3 linked regions of the Oryctolagus cuniculus genome follow. The protein of the gene in region 3 interacts with the protein of the main gene of each other region in a biochemical or structural test. Links are inferred from orthologs where the notes say so. Each region holds a gene or a part of one and is shown on either strand. Other genes may lie near its edges.

What was found. The genes of interacting proteins can lie anywhere in the genome.
Region 1: the proteins of ERBIN (region 3) and SCN4A interact in a test that uses a peptide from one of them, tested with the Homo sapiens proteins (2 studies listed by BioGRID and IntAct). The link is inferred for Oryctolagus cuniculus from reciprocal best matches to the Homo sapiens genes ERBIN and SCN4A.
Region 2: the proteins of ERBIN (region 3) and MAPK12 interact in a test that uses a peptide from one of them, tested with the Homo sapiens proteins (2 studies listed by BioGRID and IntAct). The link is inferred for Oryctolagus cuniculus from reciprocal best matches to the Homo sapiens genes ERBIN and MAPK12.

The regions. Positions count from the first base shown.
Region 1 is NC_091448.1:14,800,737-14,804,930, forward strand, and holds part of SCN4A (sodium channel protein type 4 subunit alpha), read left to right. Parts: intron 1-274; coding exon 275-366; intron 367-1,889; coding exon 1,890-2,171; intron 2,172-2,806; coding exon 2,807-2,870; intron 2,871-3,102; coding exon 3,103-3,244; intron 3,245-3,960; coding exon 3,961-4,170; intron 4,171-4,194. UniProt on the Homo sapiens protein: Pore-forming subunit of Nav1.4, a voltage-gated sodium (Nav) channel that directly mediates the depolarizing phase of action potentials in excitable membranes.
Region 2 is NC_091442.1:123,206,307-123,209,315, reverse strand, and holds part of MAPK12 (mitogen-activated protein kinase 12), read left to right. Parts: intron 1-24; coding exon 25-83; intron 84-1,018; coding exon 1,019-1,130; intron 1,131-1,217; coding exon 1,218-1,247; intron 1,248-1,501; coding exon 1,502-1,549; intron 1,550-1,959; coding exon 1,960-2,074; intron 2,075-2,241; coding exon 2,242-2,313; intron 2,314-2,410; coding exon 2,411-2,490; intron 2,491-2,560; coding exon 2,561-2,639; intron 2,640-2,718; coding exon 2,719-2,975; 3' UTR 2,976-3,009. UniProt on the Homo sapiens protein: Serine/threonine kinase which acts as an essential component of the MAP kinase signal transduction pathway.
Region 3 is NC_091445.1:86,864,399-86,869,365, reverse strand, and holds the start of ERBIN (erbin), read right to left. Parts: upstream 2,954-4,967; 5' UTR 2,692-2,953; intron 2,661-2,691; exon of another isoform or gene 2,487-2,660; coding exon of another isoform or gene 2,484-2,486; intron 2,123-2,483; 5' UTR 2,017-2,122; coding exon 2,011-2,016; intron 1-2,010. UniProt on the Homo sapiens protein: Acts as an adapter for the receptor ERBB2, in epithelia. By binding the unphosphorylated 'Tyr-1248' of receptor ERBB2, it may contribute to stabilize this unphosphorylated state.

The DNA of each region.
Region 1 (4,194 bases), on a different chromosome or scaffold from region 3:
AGGCAGCCTGAGCCATGTCCTGTAGGCCCTCACCTATCTGGGCAGCGCCATCCTGGCCACCCCCACTCCCCAGCAGCAAAGCTCTGTCACTCTACTTCCCAACTCTGGGGCTCCCCTAGGAACTGTAGGGGTGTAAGACCTGCCCCAGTCCCCCATGGTGACCCCAACTGCAAGGACTCCTTGAGAATCCTCACTGTGGGCCTGGGGGAGCCCCAATTTCAGCCCTCCCATCTCCCCTGGCTCTGACACAGCCCTCCCCCCAACCCCGCCCCAGGTACCTGACGGAGTTCGTGGACTTGGGCAACATCTCAGCCCTGAGGACTTTCCGGGTGCTGCGGGCCCTGAAAACCATCACGGTCATCCCAGGTACTGGGGTGACACAGGGACCCTCTGCCTGGACCAACAGACCTGCCCCTTGCTCACACCTGGAACCTAGCACTCGAGTTCCAGGAGCCTGCGCCAGGGTTATGACTCTGCTGGGCTGTGTGTAAGGCTCTCCCCACGGCCTGGACCACAGGGGGCTGGCACAGCCGGAGAGCAGGAAGGGCCCTCGGTGGGAGCTGGGTGTTTCCCCACAGCTTAGCAAGGTGGTGGAGCCAGACTGCTTGGGTTCAACTCTCCCTTGCACCCGTCTGTGACCTTGGGCAAGTGTTTGACTTGCTGTGCCTCAGTTGCCCCATCTGTGAAACGTGGATGGTAGTAGTACCACCCAGTGGGTTACTTTGAGGTTAGGGACTTTGAAGGAGGGCCCGGCACAAGGGATGTGACACATAACAGAGTTAGCCTCACAGTCAACGCCCGTGTGCCACGCTGGAGTCCTGGGTTCCACACCTGGTTCTGGCTCCTGACTCCACCTTCCTGCTAATACAGACCTGGGAGGCAGCCGTGATGGCTCAGGAAACTGGGTTCCTGCCACCCATGTGAGAGAGCTGGGGGGAGCTTCCGGCTTCCAGTTTCAGCCTGGCCCATTCCCAGCCGTTTCAGGCATTTAGGGAATGAACAAGCAGATGGAAGCACCTTCTCTGTCCCTCCTCGCTCTCTGCCTCTCAAATAAATGATTTTTTTTTAATTTGTTTGAAAGGTAGTTACAGAGAGGGGAGGGGAGAGAGAGAGAGAGAGAGCGCGCGATCTTTCATCTGCTGGTTCACTGCCCAAATGGCTGCAACAGCCAAGCTGAAGCCAGGAGCCTGGAGCTTCCTCTGGGTCTCCCACACGGGTGCAGGGGCCCAGGCACGTGGGCCATCTTCCACTGCTTTGCCAGGTGCACCAGCAGGGAGCTGGATCAGAAGTAGAGCAGCCGGGTCTTGAACCGATGCTTATATGGGATGTTGGCATCACAGGCAAAAGCATTTTTTTTTTTAAGATTTATTTATTTGAAAGTCAGAGTTACACAGAGAGAAAAGGAGAGGGAGAGAGAGAGAGAGGTCTTCCATCCAATGGTTCACTCCCCAATTGGCCACATCGGCCGAAGCTGTGCCAATCCGAAGCCAGGAGCCAGGAGCTTCTTCCGGGTCTCCCACGCAGGTGCAGGGGCCCAAGGACCTGGGCCATCTTCTACTGCTTTCCCAGGCCATAGCAGAGAGCTGGATGGGCAGTGGAGCAGCCGGGTCTTGAACCAGCACTCATATGGGATGCCGGCGCTTCAGGCCAGGGCATTAACCCACTGCACCACAGCGCCAGCCCCTAGAAGCTTAATCTACTATGCCACAACGCTGGCTCCCTCAAATAAATGAATTTTTCAAACAAATAAAAATGCAGACTGAGCAGAAACCGCTCTGTGGGGGCTGAACTGAGCACACAGCGCAGCCCGCTGAGCCATAAGAGCAGGCACGGGCTCGGGGGGATGGCCACCCTGCCCCACCCGCTGCCCACACTGGTGCCCTCCCCAGGGCTGAAGACGATCGTGGGCGCCCTGATCCAGTCCGTGAAGAAGCTGTCAGATGTAATGATCCTTACCGTGTTCTGCCTGAGCGTCTTCGCCCTGGTGGGGCTGCAGCTCTTCATGGGGAACCTGCGGCAGAAGTGTGTACGCTGGCCCCCGCCCTTCAACGACACCAACACCACGTGGTATGGCAACGACACATGGTACGGCAACGACACGTGGGACGACGGCCGCGAGAGCTGGGCCAGCAACTACACCTTTGACTGGGACGCCTACATCAACGACGAAGGTAAGAGTGGACAGGTGGGCAGGCGAGGCGGGGGGCCTGTCCCAGCCCCTGCCACAGCTTCTCGTGACGCACATAGCCTGGCGAGGACCTGAGCTGAGATCTGTCCCTTGTCAGCTTGTGTCACCTCTGACAAGTCACTCGGTCTCCCCTTGTCTGCATCACACGATGTGCTCACACCCTGGCAGACCCCCGGCAGGCACCACCTGGAGATGCCCTATTGGCACATGCAGCCTGCACAGGCACACACGTGAGACACACACTCCCACACAGCCACGCGTCCTCCCCACAGTGCCTCCGTGCAGCTGGGACAGTGGTGCCCCTTCTGGAAGCCAGCCCCAATTCACACTGAAATCAGGGCTTGGTAGCCTGAGGCAGACACATACGGGTCCCTTCTGGCTCCGTGCGTCCTCACTGGACACCCACACTCGCGCTGAGCTGCCACTGTTTGGGCCAGAGCTCCCTCCCCATCTCTTGTGCGGAGACCTTAGAACCTGGAGCTGTCATTATGGGAGGGGGAGGGGCGCCCAGAGGACACCTATTTGGGGTACATGGCGCACGGGTGTGCAGTGGGTGCGTGTGCCCGCAGTGTGCCTGCGCGGGTGACACGCCTCCTTTGTGGCATTCGACTTCCAAAGGGAACTTCTACTTCCTGGAGGGCGCCAACGACGCCCTGCTCTGTGGGAACAGCAGTGACGCGGGGTGAGTGATGCTGGGGAGGCAGCAGGGAAGAGGGGCGTCCCAGGTCTTGGAAGATGGGGGATGGGAGATGATCAGGGACTGGGACTTGGGCTGGACGGGAGTCAGGGAAAACCCACGGACGTGGAAGGACTACTTTCCAGACTGGGGACATAGGTGGGACTGAGGGTTCCCCCCTCTGGGGTCGCACACATGTCTCCCAGCTACAGCTCTCTGCCCCCCATCCTGTCCCCAGGCACTGCCCCGAGGGTTACGAGTGCATCAAGGCTGGGCGAAACCCCAACTATGGCTACACCAGCTACGACACCTTCAGCTGGGCCTTCCTGGCGCTCTTCCGCCTCATGACACAGGACTACTGGGAGAACCTCTTCCAGCTGGTACAGCCTCCCCTGCCCCCACCCCTCCACCCTGCAGGCCACAGGTGACCCCAGCATAGCCATCTGCTCTGTAGGACCATAGGTGCCCCTGCAGCTTCTGGGAACCCTGAGCACCTGTCCAGAGCTGGGCCACAGCCTTCCTCACCTTAAGAGCTGAGGTCTGGGCCTGGCACAGGCTTGGGTCCAGGAAACCCTGGGCCTCACGGAAACCAGCAGGGCAGCTGGGAAATTCACCCCTGCCCACGTGCAGGTACAGCCGGCCTCCGCCCGTGTGGGGTCCGCGTGCACTGACCCGATCACCGTGGATCAGACTGTTGGAGGGGGAAAAGTACCGTGCCAAACACGTCCAGGCCGATTTCCTTCTCATTCGTCCCTAAGCAATCAGCATGACAAGCATTTACATAGTATTTATGTCATAAAGTCTACAATTCAAGACATTTCCAAATACAAAAAAATTTGAACTACAAACTTCAAAAAGTTCATGGAAAATGCACATTGTAAAAATGTATGGATTTAAAACTGTTTTTCTGCACCAAAATCGGGTTATCTTTTCATGCTGTTTGCCACGGACTTTTGGAAGTATTTTAAGTTCCCTGGGACGTGGCGTGGCCTGCCCAGGATGACCACATCCCGCCTCAGGGGCCTCCTAATTGGAGGTATGAGAAGGGGCTGCGGGTACCACAGGTCCTCTCCCCTGCTTCTCCCCCAACTCCCAGACCCTGCGAGCAGCTGGCAAGACCTACATGATCTTCTTCGTCGTCATCATCTTCCTGGGCTCCTTCTACCTCATCAACCTGATCCTGGCCGTGGTGGCCATGGCCTATGCAGAGCAGAATGAGGCCACCCTGGCCGAGGACCAGGAGAAGGAGGAGGAGTTCCAGCAGATGCTGGAGAAGTTCAAGAAGCAGCAGGAAGAACAGGAAAAGGTCTGGACTCGGGGCGGGGAGGCC
Region 2 (3,009 bases), on a different chromosome or scaffold from region 3:
CCTGGCGCTCTGGCTCTCCCCCAGGTGATCGGCCTGCTGGACGTGTTCACCCCAGACGAGACCCTGGACGACTTCACAGACTTGTGAGTGCTGGCTGGGCTGGCCGGGCAGGCCAGTAGGGCACTGGCTGGCTCCTGGGCACCAGCGTTAGGTTCTGGGTCGGCAGGGGGCCTTTCCCCACAGCCATGGTGACGGGCGCTGGGATACACCCTGTTCACTCTGTGTCCGGACCCAGGCCACTCCACACCCCCTCCCAACATGTTCCTGGGACCCTTGGGCACTGGAACACCCAGACACAGCCCGGGCCTCCTCCTCCCTCCACCCGCAGCACCTGGGCCATCGCCGGTGCTGGAGGTGTGAACCCTGTTAACAGGCTGGTCCCGTGCTCTGGCCCCAGGCACCAGGCGTGTGGCCTGTAACTGGAGCTGCTGACCTTTGCCGGTGGGTGGAGGAGAGGTGGCAGGGAGCGGCCATCCCGGCCTAGCACTGACCAGGCTGCTTCCGGCTCACGTTGTTCTCAGCTGGGAGCAGGGCCAGGCCTGCGGAGGGCTGCGGAGGGCAGCGGGCTCCCTGTTGCCTGACATGCCAAGGGTGGGTCCCCGAGGCCTCAGCGTCTCCTGGGGTGCTAAGTGGTGACTTCCCTCCCTCGGCCTGCCCAGCCCACCCCTCTGGCCACCACCCATCTCGTCCTTCCCCGGCCCCTGTGTGTGAAGCTTCCTGCCCCCTTGTCTTCAACACTGTGCCTTTTAGACGAGAAATCAGGAGCCCCACAGTGGGTGACATTCAGGGTAGGCTGGGTGGGATGTCTGGGGGGAGGCGGGGTCATTGCTGGGAGCGACAGGGAGGTCGGGGAAGAGAGGACTCGACCGAAGCCAGCGGGGACCAGGTGCTGAGGGTCACCTTCTGAGGGGCATCTGTCGGGCAGAGTCCTCCAGGTCTGAGCCTGAGCCCATCGGGTGGGACCCCCGGCTCCAGGGCCCGGCCCTGGCGGGTGACTGCATCCCAGCCCCACTTCCAGTTACCTGGTGATGCCGTTCATGGGCACCGACCTGGGCAAGCTCATGAAGCACGAGAAGCTGAGTGAGGACCGCATCCAGTTCCTGGTGTACCAGATGCTGAAGGGGCTGAAGGTGGGGCACCCGGGCAGAGCAGGGCGGGGAGGCTCTGTGGCCCTGAGGCCCTGGGACGCTGACCCCTGCTGACCCCTCTGTCTGCAGTACATCCACGCTGCTGGCGTCATCCACAGGGTGAGTCCTGGCTACGGCCTCCAGAGGGGCCCAGTCCCGTCTCCACTGCTCACCCGTGAGGGGGTGCGGTGGGCTTGGCGTGGTGCACACGACACCCCATGCATTGCTGCTGGGAACGTGTCCTGGGGACCCAGGCACCTCTGCTCTCCTGGACGGGCTGCAAGGGCCAGGGAGGCTGGGTCGGGCCTGGCGGCCCCTGTGTGGGTGCCGTCCAACGTCGGGCCTCGCAGTGGCCACCTGTCCTCTGCCTGCAGGACCTGAAGCCCGGCAACCTGGCAGTGAATGAGGACTGTGAGCTGAAGGTGCGAGGGCCAGGGGCCTGGGGGGGGGGGCTCCCTCACCATCTGCCCCCAGCCTGGCACCTGGGCAGGGGCTGAGCAGCTAGCTGGTGGGCGAATGGGCCCTGGGTGGTCCCTGAGGGGGTGGCATCGGGCACGACGCCCCCATACCTGCGTCAGGGCGAGCGTGGGAGGTGTTCCCAGTCCCCATGCCTGACCCAGGGCGGGGCTGAGGAGGCCTCCAGGAAGACGGGCAGGGGTTGGCAGAGCAGGGAGAGGAGTCCAGGGCCAGAGCTCCCGGGTACTCCCAGGGAGGGACCCTGGGGTGGTGCTTGCTGCCTTGGGCCCAGCCCCCTGGGGGTCTCCCGGACCATGGCTGGCCTGTGCATCCCTTAGGGGTCCTCTTAGTCCCATCTCTCTGATTCTTCCCACAGATCCTGGACTTTGGCCTGGCCAGGCAGGCTGACAGTGAGATGACTGGCTATGTGGTGACCCGGTGGTACCGGGCCCCCGAGGTCATCCTGAACTGGATGCACTACACACAGACAGGTAAGAGGCCACCCAGGGACACGGGGGCCTCCCAGACCACACCGCTTCGCTCCATGGTGGAGGCCCCGCCCCCCAAAAGCTGTGTGTTCTGGCGGAGCCGGGTGAGGGCGTGGGCCTGTGCTACAGCCCCTTCCTCCACCCCGGGTGCTGATGGGGTCTCGTCTCAGTGGACATCTGGTCGGTGGGCTGCATCATGGCGGAGATGATTACGGGGAAGACGCTGTTCAAGGGCAGTGACCGTATCCTCAGTCGTGGGCTGCCTGGCGGGCGGGGCCGGAGGAGGTGGGTGTGGCTCCTGCTCCCTGTCCCCTGTCGTGCTCCTGAACCCCAGTGCAGACCTGGACCAGCTGAAGGAGATCATGAAGGTGACAGGGACGCCTCCGGCCGACTTCGTGCAAAAGCTGCGGAGCGCTGATGTCCGTATGGAGCTGGGCGGGTGAGGCCAGCTGGCCTGGGGGCTGCCCCTCACCCTGTCTTCCCTGGCAGGCCAAGCAGTACATGCAGGGCCTCCCCGAGTGTGAGAGGAAGGACTTTGCCTCCGTGGTGACCAACGCAAGCCCTCTGGGTAGGGCGGGGGGCAGCGGGGCGGTCTCGGGGCTGGGGCGCAGGCCCGCCTCTGCCGGCCTGACCCGCTGCCCCTCCAGCCGTGAACCTCCTGGAGAAGATGCTGGTGCTGGACGGGGACCAGCGGGTGACAGCGGCCGAGGCGCTGGCCCACCCCTACTTCGAGTCCCTGCACGACACGGAGGACGAGCCCACAGCCCAGAAGTACGACGACTCCTTTGATGACGTGGACCGCACCCTGGACGAGTGGAAGCGTGAGTTGTGCTCCGTGGGGCCTGTGTGGGGCCCGGCAGGTGGCCCGGCACACGGCCCCGGGAACCGCGAGGCGTGGCTCTGAGCTCAGGGCAGCGGCGCCCACTGAGCCGCTCCTG
Region 3 (4,967 bases):
ATCCCATATGGGCGCCAGTTCGAGTCCCAGCTGCTCCACTTCTGATCCAGCTCTCTGCTTTGGCCTGGGAAATCAGAAGATGGCCCAAGACATTGGGCCCCTGCACCTATGTGGGAGACTCAGAAGAAGCTCCCTGTCAGTATGCCTGGGAAAGCATTAGAGGATGTCCCAAGTCCTTGGACTACACCAGAGTGGGAGACCTGGAAGAAGATCCTGGCTCCTGGCTTCAGATCAGTCCAGCTCTAGCCACTGCAGCCATTTGGGGAGTGAACCAGTGGATGGAAGACTTCTCTGCCTCTCTGTAATTTTACCTTTCAAATAAATAAAATCTTTGAAAAATGAAAAAAGAAGCTATCATTTATTACCAATACTTCAACATCATCAAGGTCAAAAGTAACTGAATTTTAGTGATTTACCAATGATACGTCTCTATAGTCATCACTTAATTAACAGCACACAATGAAAATCTGGCTCCCATATTTGAACCTCTGTAAGCTTTTTATACATAAATTTTTGTTACAGTTTAACCTCAAGCGGCAAAGTGATTCTGTAACTTAGTACTTTGAATTGGTGGAAGTTCTGAAAACTCATGATTACCTTCAACAAACATATCTTTTAAATTGTATTCTGTGCAAATAAGTAAACACATAATTTATCCTAAGAAAGTCTATACAACACTAAGAATACCCAGATCCTGAAGTCACTTAAAATATTTTAACTGACTGCTTTTCTAAACATCTCTTCAAACCTCACATTTTAAACAAAATTTTGGAATATACAGTTCAACAGTGCAAAACCTAAAATTTAGTCTGTTAATGCTAAGTAACAGAATTTTAAGTAAACCACAAAGAAAGTTATGCATCATTAAGAGGTAAAAAGGAACCAAAGATAATTACAAAAGTTAACACCTCATTTTTAAAAATGTGTTGCCTGCCTGCAAACATACCATTCTTCTCCAGGAGGAGGGGGGAAACCAAGAACTTTATCAAAAATCAGGTGTTTAGTCATTATCAGGTGCTACAATAATTTTTACATAAAATTTATGAACACAAATACCTTTGTAAAGTGGTAATTCTGGGTCAAACTTGCTCTATTATGGCTTTGTTGCTCTGAGGCCAAGTATGAACCATATAAGGAAACTGAAGTTCAATGTCATTTATTTTGTTCCATTCTTTCAGATGCCCAACAACAACCTCCTTTGCTGCCTAATACATGGTCTGAATTCATAAAGTAGATCAGCTGTGCACTTTAAATTCCTTGATAAGGCTAATTTGGCTTAAAAGGAATTATATGATGGTTCACAATTAAAAAAAAAAAACAGAAATCACACTCTCAGAAAAAAAAAAAAAACAAAGCAATACAGTTAAAAGTCTCCCATTTTGAAAAGTACTTTTAAAAGACGAAGTAGCAAATATCAAGTTGTGAAATAATTTGATCCTGATTTTAAAATTTACCTTTTCTCTCTGAACGGAAGTCAGCTCTTTCTCCTGGGGTTTACAGTAATTACTTTGCTAGTATTTGATAAACTAGGCATCGATTTATATTAAAATGATTCCACAGATGATCATATTTTCTTAGCATTTACTCACAAATACAATATTTTTTCACTACCTTTACCACAAAAGTACTGGGGAAAAAAATAAACTTAAGACACTAAAACGCCGCTGAAAGCAGGGAGTGGGTTTGCCATGACCCAAACGCGTTGACTCTAGGAAGTCTACCCATTGGCTCAGGGGTGTTCAGAGCTCTGCCTGCTGCTAGTAGGTCTGTCACGCTTCACGGAGTCCTGCCCCACACTAAGTTCCTCTCCCTTATTAGGCCGAACCGAACGAAACATTTGGGCCAACACAAAAATCTAAATATCCTAGTATTCAAAGGCACAGCTTTTTTTATATCCCAATCAGTGTGGTTCCCAAGAAAATCTTTGAAGCGTTTTACTTCCCTCCCTACATAGTCAGTGCTGACCTGCACGGCAGTCCGAGCAAATCAAGCTGCGTTTTAATTACACACCTTCATCTGTAATCCTCACTCCCTCCTTCTCCATCCTAATGGTTCAGTCACAAGAAAAGTCTAGCAGACGCTTGCTTTCAATTAATGAAGGAAATATTTTAGGAGTCAACACCTGAAAAGGACAAGTTAACACACGTGAAAAAAAAAAAAAACATTACCTGCCCTGAAAACTAAAGCTGGCAAAAAGTTGCTTGTCCCTAAAATCCAATAAACTAGACGCAACAAGGCTCTGAACCAAAAACAGTCTCTGCGCGATGAACTCCAAAGCCAAAACCATCGCTATCAGCACAAACAAACGCGGCAGCCATCTCAACAGCCGCAAATCGACGGAACTTTCCTCCCAACCAAGTCGCCAGACAGGAGCTTCGCACACCTCGCAGAGGCTCCAGAAAACGAAAACTTCTGGAGCTCGCGCTCAACAAAGGCACTCTTTCTCCAGGCGGCCCAAACTTCCCGTCCCACTGCATTCTTACCATCGCTTCTACACAAACCACAGCCCAGATGGCAGACCGGGGCTTAAAAAACAAAACAAAACAAAACACACACAGCTCTCCCACTTCACCACCTAGAACACTGTGCGCTCCGATCCGAGCAAAGAACTGACGGAAACTTGGGCAAAAGGATCGCCCCTTTTCCGGTCCGTGCACTGTGTGTCTTCCAGACGCTTCTCGCGAAAATTACCTTTCGGCCGGACGGCGTCTCAGGGCTGCTTTTTCCAGGCTTCGCTGCCCATGATTCCCTCGCCCGCGTTAGTCACTTCGCATCCAGCCGAGTCTCTCCGGTGAGAACGGATGTGCAGCGGCCGCCCGCAGCAGCAGAGTAGGCTGCCCGGGTGGGGGTTGGGATGCGGGCTGGCTTCCTGGTCTCGAGTTTGCAGGAGTTTCCCAGCCCCAACTAGGATCTCCGCCGAGAGGAGGAGGAAAAAAAAAAAAAAAAAAAAAAACTTTTTCACTCGTGACACCGCCCGGAATTGCCGTGCGAAACTCACTTCCTGCCTCGGCGCAAGGCAGGAGCCAGCTCCGTCCAGGGGAACCCGGAACCCCAGCGCGCGCGCCGCGGAGGGGGAGGGGAGGCGCCGTCGGCCGGGCCCCGCGCGCCCCGCGCCCCCGACGGCGGCGGCGGCGGCCGAGACGCCGCCCGGGCGCTCGGCGGGCCGCGGCCGCGCTAGGCCGGCCCTGCTCCTCGCCGCCGCCCCCAGAGCCGAGCGGCCGGTTATTGTCTCGCTAGCGCCTGCCGCGCCCTTCGCCCGCGCCGCCGCCGCCGCCCGGAGCCGAGGGGCCGGGCAGGCTCGATGGCGGCGCCCTCGTCGGGCCGGCCGTCCTTCTGTCCGTTCCTCGCAGCGTTCCCTGCTCGCCCGCCTCTCGCTTTCCCGCCGCCGCGCCGCCACTCCCCTGCTGCTGCTTCTTCCCCGGCGGCGGCGGCGGCGGCCGCACGGGGCGCGGGGCTGGGGTGGGCGGCAGCCCGGTCCTCCTCACGAGTTCGCGGGGCCGCGGCGGGGGCCGAGGCTGCGTCCCGCGCCGCCGCGCCACCTTCGCTCGGGCGAGAGACGGCGAGGGGAGGGGCCCGGCGGGAGGGAGCGGAGAGCGACGAGGAGGAGGAGGAGGAGGAGGAGGAGTGGGGCTGGGGCGCAGGGGAGTGACCGCCGCGCAGGCCGCGGCGGAGGCTACGGCGCCACCGCCCCGCCGGCGAGGGGGGAGAGGCTGCGCGCGGCCGCGCGGCGGAGGGGGCGGGGCGGCCTCCCGCGGGCTGCGCCCCAACCGCCCACAGCCGGGCCGGAGGCCGGCGCGAGCCAGTCAGCGCGCGCGCGCGCGCGGGGGCCGCGCGGCCGACGTCGGCGGCGGGGGGCGGCGGGGCCTGGGGGGAGGGGCCCCGCCGTCCGCGGGTTCGCGTGCCGGGCGCGGCGTGAGGCCCGCTCGGGCGCCGGTCCCCGGGGGCCTGCCTGCGGGCTCCGTGACCCCCCGCGCACGCCGGCTCCCCAGCCCGTGGCGAACGCAGACGACGCCGCCGACCTCGGCCCGGGAACGCAGAGCCCTCAGGCCGCCGCCGCCGCGCTGGCCGGTTGAGTTTCTTTGTACACAGCGGCCGGTGCGCCGGGGGCTGTTCGAGTCCAGCCCCGATTTGCAGGCAGCAGGTATCCGCTGCGGCCGCTGCACTCCAACTTCTTGTAATGGCACGCTCGGGTTGCAAGCCGCCGCCGCAGCGGCCCAGCCGAGCTTCCCACGCCAGCCCTCGCTCGCTCGCTGGCCCCGCCGCGCAGCTGGGGCTCCTCCAGGGTTCGGCCTCGCACCGGCGCGGAGACAAAGCTGGCGCTGGCCGGGGGAAAATGGCCCGCGAAATTGCCTCGAGCTCGCGCCTTTGTTAGAAGAAACGCCGGCTGCCCTCTGAAGGCGACGCAGGCTCCCCAGCCCAGTGGTTTCGGTGGCGCAGCGGTTGGCTTGCGCTGGCCCTCGTAATTCATCCTGGCGGCTTTTGCGTTTAGAGAGAGACTCTTTAGCGTCCTGTCAACACATACGGCATAGAGAGCGTGAGCCATAATATTGCACAGTTGTTGCAGTTGCCGCATTAAATATGTTGACAGACGGCCTTGTTTTACCCGGAGGAGGAGCGGAATGGGTACGGGGAGACCTTCCCTCCACCCCCGCCTCTGCTCTGCTTCACTGTGTACAGCGATGGTGCTTTGGGCCCCAGGTCCCCGGAGGCACTGGTTCAGGTCTTCCGTCTGTATTCCAGAGATAATTGCTTATTATCAAGTTTGAGTAAAGAGCTATATGCCCTACAGACAATTCTTGGCCTGCATCCAAAGGGAAGAATTCATAAAGTGCACAAAGAATTACTTACCTAAATGAGTTGTGCACAAGTGACAAACACTGGAGATAACTCCGGTCAGCTTTTAAGGGATGGGAACATTGTCACTGCTCCCAGAACTGCTGGCATTGACACAGGTATTAGTCCCTTGG